Schizosaccharomyces pombe: one gene and its partner. The protein of the gene in region 1 interacts with the protein of each later gene in a pairwise test. Each region holds a gene or a part of one and is shown in the gene's direction. Other genes may lie near its edges. The genes, in order: cyc2 and sec18.

Evidence for each region.
Region 2: the proteins of cyc2 (region 1) and sec18 interact in a two-hybrid assay, tested with the Schizosaccharomyces pombe proteins (one large-scale study listed by BioGRID).

Annotation. Positions count from the first base shown.
Region 1 is NC_003424.3:2,025,317-2,028,760, reverse strand, and holds cyc2 (cytochrome c-heme-linkage protein Cyc2), read left to right. Parts: upstream 1-1,759; 5' UTR 1,760-1,797; coding exon 1,798-2,598; 3' UTR 2,599-2,806; downstream 2,807-3,444. Other genes in the region: pro2 (glutamate 5-kinase), read left to right, coding at 9-63, 188-486, 563-1,417; actin regulatory protein gmf1, read right to left, coding at 3,001-3,426.
Region 2 is NC_003424.3:4,717,802-4,722,893, reverse strand, and holds sec18 (secretory pathway protein Sec18), read left to right. Parts: upstream 1-1,758; 5' UTR 1,759-1,777; coding exon 1,778-4,156; 3' UTR 4,157-4,381; downstream 4,382-5,092. Other genes in the region: SPOM_SPAC1834.13 (uncharacterized protein), read left to right, coding at 310-546; SPOM_SPAC1834.10C (uncharacterized protein), read left to right, coding at 4,583-4,805, 4,867-5,092. UniProt on the Schizosaccharomyces pombe protein: Required for vesicle-mediated transport. Catalyzes the fusion of transport vesicles within the Golgi cisternae. Is also required for transport from the endoplasmic reticulum to the Golgi stack.

The DNA of each region.
Region 1 (3,444 bases):
TTTTTAAAATGTCTCCGAAGTCGAAAAGCACAAATAAGACTTACACAATTGTCATCAAACTTGGTAAGCACGGAATAGTAAGCTATACAAAAGCATATGTATGAATTTTATATCTCACTTTTTCAAATATGTATTTCTTTGTTTGCTCGTTGTTGGCATCACAAACGCTTTGCTAACATTATTTTAGGCACATCGTCAATTTGTGATGAAAAGACTCATGAACCATTAATTTCAAATTTGTCACTAATCGTTGAAACCGTTGTCAAGCTTCGAAAGTTGGGTCATAATGTCGTTTTGGTTTCAAGTGGTGGTATTGCAATGGGCCTTCGTAGATTAGATTTACCTAAGCGTCCTTCAAAGCTTTCTGCTGTACAAGCAATTGCCGCGGTCGGTCAAGGAAGACTAATTTCCTTATGGGATACCTTATTTACACAACTTCGTCAGCCTATTGCGCAAGTTTTAATCACTAGAAACGACATTGCCGAGGTAAGATTCAGATAATTATTGTTGACACTTAAAAAATTATTTTAATTACTGACGGGTACTAACTATTAATATTTAGAGATCCCAATATGTAAATGCAGCGAACACAATTTCCGAGTTGCTACATTTTGGGGTAGTTCCCATTGTAAATGAAAATGATACTCTGTCTGTTCAAGAAATCCGTTTTGGTGATAACGATACTTTATCGGCAATTACAGCTGGCATGATAAACGCAGATTATTTGTTTTTACTTACAGATGTTGATTGTTTGTATACAGACAACCCACGTACCAACCCTGACGCTAAGCCTATTTTAAAAATTCATGATACATCAATGGTAAATGCAAACGTTTCCACACCCGGTAGTGGAGTTGGAACAGGGGGAATGAAGACGAAATTGATCGCTGCAGATTTGGGAACGTCTTCAGGCGTAAATGTTATAATATGTCGTGGTTCTAAACCTTCGAGTATATTCGATATAATCCGTCAGGAATCCTCTGATAATAAAAATGAGTCAGTTGAATTACCTCTGCATACCCACTTTGTAGCCAAAAAGCAAGGAAGGATCCGTGATCGACACTTTTGGCTTTTGCACGGCCTTAAATCACATGGGAGTTTGGAAATTGATCGTGGGGCTTTCGAGGCTATAACCCGTACAAATAGAGCAGGATTACTACCAGTTGGTGTAACCAAAGTACATGGCCATTTTTCAGCTCACCAAGCAGTTACGGTTATTTACAACGGAGAGGAAATTGGCAGAGCCCTTGTTAATTACAGCAGTACTGAAATAGATTTGATTAAAGGCAAGAGAAGCAAAGAAATTGCATCCATCTTAGGATATAACGAAACTGAATATGTCGCCTACAGAGACTATTTAGTAGTTCATGGTTTAAATTCTCATCATGATTCACAAGTTAGTTCTGATGAGCATTGATGTATATATTTAATCACTAGCTTATTTAGAACTACTAAAATTTGTTTTTGCTCTGTTTTTTACCTTTATTATTGGCTTACTGTTATTGAAATTTTTTTGTTATAGAAGGAAGGTTTACGAACTTAATATACAAAAACAGAACCATAAATATCTATTAGAAAATTTATTAAGATTTGTTTATTTTTGTTAAAAAACTATTAACCTTAGATAATAATCAGACGTTTTGTACTGAGTTGTGTAATTAACAAAGTACATTTTGTTGGTATTATATCGGATACTTCCTACGAAGCCTGTGATTGGATTTGGCTTTCATAAACGATGAATATAAGTACACGCAATTCCAACCTCCCCTTGATACAGTAAAACTTACAAAGAAAACAATGAGTAGCTCGACTTACAGGAAATTGCCTAAAATCTTAGCTGCAGGTCTTGCTATTGGTTGCGCAGGTGGTTATTATGCTTATAAAAATTCGAATAAGCCCCCAGGACTTAATCCCGAAATTTATGCTCCATTTACAGTTAATAAAATTACAGAGCTTACATCCGATGCTAGCTTGTTTTCGTTAGTTCCTCAGAGCCCTTCTGAACACCTTACTACTTTGGAACCGATTGCTAAGGTAACAATTCGTGATCCCAGTATGCAAGTCCAGAGACCATATACCCCTTTGTACTTGGATGCCAATGAATTAAAGTTCTTTATTAGAAAGTATGAAGAGGGTCCCGTTAGTTCTTATATTCATTCTAAGAAAGAAGGGGACACTATTGAACTTCGGGGTCCTTTTAAAACCACCAAACTCGATTGTACGAAGTACCCAAGAATCGTAGCTATCGTTGCAGGAACAGGAATTGCTCCTATATATCAATTAGCTCAGTCTGTTAAATCCCCAGTCGATATTGTATACTGCTCAAGGCCTGGTCAGCCCCCTTTGCTAAAAGAAGAATTGGAAAAGGAATGCCCAAACGTAAGGGTGAAGTCCGTCCAAAATCGTTTGGTAAACATTCATGACATTTTGGATTGGGATAATGTTACAGTTCCTTTAAAGGATACCCTTTGCATTGTCTGCGGTAGCCAGAAGTTTGTTTCTACAATTGCCGGACCGAAGGCTGATTATGGCGCAAGACAAGGAGAAGTCAAAGGACTTTTATCAAACAATCCGTTTGGGAAAGTTTGGAAGCTTTAGTTTAGAAATTTTTGGCTTAAGATTTTGGGTTGCACGATCTTTGGACAATTGTGCATAATACAAAAACGATTTTTTTGTTTATCTTCAAATAATTTATTTTTACCGATTTGGAAATAAATTTATACAAATAAGGGAACTCTTAAACGTTACGTGTTATCAATGAAATGGAGCGGTTTTCTTAGGTAATGGAGAGAAAATAAAAAAAATAGTATTTAAAAAGTTTCTAAGTGTATAAATTTTTATCCATTAAATCTAATTGTTATTGAGGGTTTATGCATCTGCTGCTAAGCAGGTATAGTATGTCAAAAAGAAAGCCCATACAAGCAAAATATCTTTAAATAATTAATTGCATAAAATGTGAACGAGGGAAAGGTTCATTTTCAACTCGCATATAAACAAGCATTAATGCAAAAACTCATCAACTGCTTCACTAGTAATATCTTCAGAATCTCTAGCTTCAAATACTTTGTGCACCTGCGACACATCTTGAAACCAGACTTTAGCAGAAGCATAAATCATAGATAAGTCATTTGGGGTAGCACTTGGTCTCCAGTATATCATAAACAATGGAGTACTAAGTCGACCATCTGTGGTTTTGGTAGGATAGGAAACAAGGATAAATCTAGGATTTGTTTCCGAGAGTTCATCTGCGACCTCTTCAATACTCTGTAAATCCATGATTTCTCCATCGGGAACAATCTCCTTAGTAGCTTTATCAACCTTGAGAATGAAAGCATACATAACTGATTTCTTCAACCGCAAACGAAATCGATCAATTTCTTTCATCGTGGTATCCGAAATGGTGAACATACGAGCCTCTGATGACATCTTTCTTGTTAGTTTATA
Region 2 (5,092 bases), 2.7 Mb from region 1:
AAGTGTTTCTACTTATGCTCCAAGCAACTTTTGCTTTTTGCCCCGTCTCGTTTCTGCTCTATTCTGCTTGGCTTGGCTTGGCTTTGCTTTGCTCACCAAATTTTGAGAGCGAAGCTTGTTTCCTCAACCCAGCTTATATATATCAAAAAATATATTAAATAACTACACTACCAATTTAGAAAAATGATAAATCATAAGGCGTGAACCAGGAGAGAAATACAATATAATTGGCTCCTTCACAAGCTAGCTTCGATAAGGGTGGGAAAAGCCGAAAGTTTATGAAATTAAGGTCGATTTTCTATATACCATATGATATTCGCCAGACGATTGGTACTTGAAGTAACTTATGTGTCAAAAAGAGCAAGCGTATTGAATCTGAAATCTGAAAATGACCACTTTCTAAGCAGGCCTAGAATATCCGAGTCACTGCCAACATCAGGGGAGGTGGGGATAGCTAAAGTACCTGCGAAACTTGCAAGTGCGCTGCCGCCTTACTCAGTCTTTGCCCCCGTTTCCCTTAGCTTTGTAAGAATGAATTGCGGATAACGTTAGGACAGTGTAGCTCGGGATAACTAGTTTGCCTGTAAAAGAACAAATAATCATTTGTAAGGGACCTTCCTTCCAAGTCATCAACACTCCATCCCATCTTACCTCACTTTCTCCTCAATCAGATTCAAGAAATGGCTGGCTTCACTTGTGACAATAACAGTGACTCAGGTGAGATATCGAATAAAATTCCATTCCCTAATAATCGCGTTTGAACATTCGCGAATCCTAGATTTTGGTCTATTTACCGTTATCATGCCAATTGAAAAATTTGTGACAGTATGACAGAAATCCGTTTCGTTATGTGAAAAAGGTGACATTAGCAAATCAATGGCCGTTTATACGACAGCAAAAACTCGGTACGCTAATCATTGATGAAATGGAAATCAAAATTCAAGACTTTGCCTCAATAACATTCATTAGAAAGGTGTGTAAATTTTTTAAGGAGACGAGGCGCTGAAAATTTTTTTTTCTACTCCTACTATCAAAACTTGCTAACACTTCCTCCAAACACACTCTTTTTTAAGTAACACTTTTTTTTTATTTCTTATTTATTTAATATTTTGAGTGGATGATCACCCGTATTCGGTTAGTAAAGTGAAGCTCAAAAGAATGATGCGAATCTCGGCAATTAGCGTCAAGCGGCAACGTCTATAGCGGTCGTATAGCTAAGCTAAACAAGAAGCGAGATCTTTCCAATACGGATGTCATTAAGCTACCGATTCTTAAAGCGAAGACATTATCACTCATGACACATAAAATTTTTTGACGTTATTATACGTTTAATAATGAATAAAATAAATTTATAAATAAAATAAAATATATAAATATACAAAAGGGGGAGGGGAAATCCCTTCAATAAACGACAACAACAGTCTGCAAGAAGGTTTGTCTTATTGGAAACAGTTTTCCTATCTTAGAAGGCTGCTAAAAAAATAGTCACTTGCATGCTACAATAATTGCACGCGTAAAGAGGCTTTTGCAAGAAGAGAGAGAAAAAAATTTTTTTGCCAAATGTAAATTGGGAAGTAACATGGCTTCACTACATCTCGTCCTAAAATATAACGACATTGGAAATTTATGGCTTAATTATGATTACGCAATCAAACGGTAAACGTATACTTCACTATTCGCTAATCTGTATTTCGTACTCCGTTATATTATGTTTTAGTAGTAGGTGGAAAGCGTTACGTTTACTGAAAACGATTTTCCATTAACAAAGCACTCAACAATGGACTCAAGATGGAAACTTCCATTCATGTCCAATAAAGGGACACCAGAGCAACCTATGAGGAAACCACTAAGTGGCAGTTATTCCCATAACAGTGCTGGTCCTACACCCAATATGAGCCCCTTTGAGCAAAAACCACCGCTGCCTACACATATGGATGTTAGACGCCCTTCAGGTCCTTTTCGGATCGTCAAGGCGACTTCTACCGAAGATGCTTTAACCAATTGTATCATTGTTTCTCCCATGGACTTTAAGCAGCAGTACATTATTGTAGACAACTCTCGTGTGTTCAGCACTAAACCCGTTCCTGGCTTTCCACAGGGTTGTCTTGGCGCTTCCCAGCCCCATCGCGAATGGGCTTCTTGGTCGCTAAATCAGCAGGTTCATGTTGCCGACTATGATCCATATGGTCCTCATGGAGCTCCTTATCTTCATAGTATGACTTTGGAGGTAGACTTTCAAAATAGAAATCGCACCACTAATGAGCCTTTCGACGGTGAAGAGATGGCCAAGTTATTTTGCTCTAGTTATCAGAGCCAAGTTTTTTCTCCGGGCCAGAAAATTGTTTTCGATTTCCGTTCTTACAATATAAAGGCAACCGTCCGTACTATATCTTGTGTCGATCTTTTAATTGGTGAGAATCAAGATGCCGAAAATACTGCAGATACCAGCAAACGTGGTCTCTTGACTTCCCAGACCGAAATCCAATTTTTTAAAGCCGCTCACTCTGCGTTGCGTTTGAAAGCTAGCATGACAAGACCTGCCTCTAATGCCATTCTTCAGCCAGGCTTTAAATTTGAGGACATGGGCATTGGTGGTCTTGACTCAGAGTTCAGTGCTATTTTCCGTCGAGCATTTGCCTCTCGTCTCTTTCCTCCTGGCATGGTTGAAAAGCTGGGTATTAATCATGTTAAGGGTATTCTCTTATATGGCCCTCCAGGTACTGGTAAGACATTAATTGCTCGACAAATTGGTAAAATGCTAAATGCCCGTGAACCGAAAATCGTTAATGGTCCTGAAATTCTAAACAAATACGTCGGTCAAAGTGAAGAAAACGTTCGTAAATTATTCGCCGATGCTGAACGTGAGTATCGCGATCGCGGAGAGGAATCGGGTCTTCATATTATTATCTTCGATGAATTAGATGCCATATGTAAAAAGAGAGGAAGTTCTGGTGGTGATACAGGTGTTGGCGATCAGGTCGTTAATCAGCTTTTGGCTAAGATGGATGGCGTTGATCAACTGAATAATATCCTTGTTATTGGTATGACTAACAGAAAAGACATGATCGATGAAGCTCTTTTGCGTCCAGGTCGTCTTGAGGTTCATATGGAAATTTCACTTCCAGATGAACACGGCCGTTTGCAGATTCTGAAAATCCATACGTCCCGTATGGCTTCAAATGGTATTTTAGAGAATGATGTTGACATGGAAGAGCTAGCATCTCTTACTAAAAACTTTTCTGGTGCTGAAATTGCTGGATTAATCAAGAGTGCTTCAAGTTTTGCTTTTTATCGCCACATCAAGGTGGGAACCACTGCCGCTGTTTCAGGTAATTTGGAAAATATCAAGGTGAATCGTAACGACTTTTTGAATGCTTTAAGTGAGGTAAGACCAGCTTATGGTGTGAGTGAGGAGGAACTCGAAAGCCGTGTGCAAGGTGGCATTATCAATTTTGGTAAACACATTGAAGAAATAATTACCGAAGGAAAATTATTTGTTCAACAAGTTAAAAACTCCGAACGTACACGTTTGGTCAGTGTATTATTGTCAGGCCCTATAGCGTCAGGGAAAACTGCATTGGCTGCCACGATAGCCCTTGGTTCTGAATTTCCATTTGTTAAGCTCGTTTCCGCTGAGTCCATGGTAGGAATGAATGAAAACGCTCGAGTAGCTCATGTCAATCGTGTGTTCGAAGACAGCTACAAAAGTCCTCTTAGCGTCATTGTAGTAGATGAGATTGAACGTATTATTGATTGGGTACCAATCGGACCTCGATTTTCTAACACCTTACTTCAAACACTTATGGTTCTTTTCAAAAAGCAACCCCCCAAGGGTCATCGATTGCTTATTTTAGCAACTACCTCTGAACGTACTATGCTCTCTCGAATGGATATGACCCAATCGTTTGATGCAGAAATAGCAGTTCCTAATGTCTCCAACGTTACTGAACTGGACCGCATCATACAATCAATAGATTCATTTGCAGACAGCAATGTTCGAGCTGATACATTACAACGTTTGCAGAACTTTACTGGTACTGATGCTGTCAATGTCGGAGTAGCCAAGATTCTTATGATAGCCGAAACGGCTAAACAGGATGTAGACGTTGTTTCCTGTTTTGTTGAAGCCATGGCCCGTGCTATTCCTATGGAATAGCAATGACACCTTTTTAATAACTGAGACGTTTTAGTCATGAATATTTTCTCAAGGTTTTTTATATTTTATACCGTTATAGATTATAGTTAATGAATACACCGCAATACTGTATGAATATTAAGTTAAAAGATGTTCGAACCTATATGTAACGTTAAAAAAATTAAATCATCTTGTTAAATGAATGCTTATCAATATAACTTTATAGCCTTTTATAGTCAATTATCCATAAATAATCATTTGAAGCATTGTAAACAATTTAAGCATACTACATTACTCCCATACTGAGAGGCACAATTTACCAATTCGCTATTTCCACTCCACATTGACCCGGTTCATATTCTAAATCTTTAATTTCATCAGTCATAAATAGTAAAGGACATGGAAATTTAAAAATCGTAACATTCAACTCACATACTTAATTCTAAAATGAATATGCCCTCCGAAATACTACTTGGTGCAAGACGCTGGTTTGCTTCAACATCATTTAGTCTAGCAGCTGTATATGATGCTCCACTTAAAAAAGCTATAGGAAACATTAAAAAGTTTTCGATTGGATCATTAGGTTTAACTTATATGATTTCTCCAGTGATGCTTTTACTTGATGCAGGAGGTTTAAGTTTGGGAACGAGAATGTCGATGGTTTTCTTGGGTATGTTTCATCAAGAAATCGGATTACCAAAATTTCCAAAGCAAATTTATTAACATGTTAGCATGTACTACTACTAGTTTGTCGACTGCAATAATTCACTGGGCTGCTAAATCTTATGTTTCGGAGGCAACGTTAAAGGGAAACGTGCTATCTTTAAATACATTTAATATTCTAGGAAAAAAGCGCTTATCCCAATATACTTTAGACAAGCTCAAAATCCCTGATACCAACAATAGTCGTCCATTCGCAAACCTTGAAAGCACTACTGTACCCAAACGATATTTTTA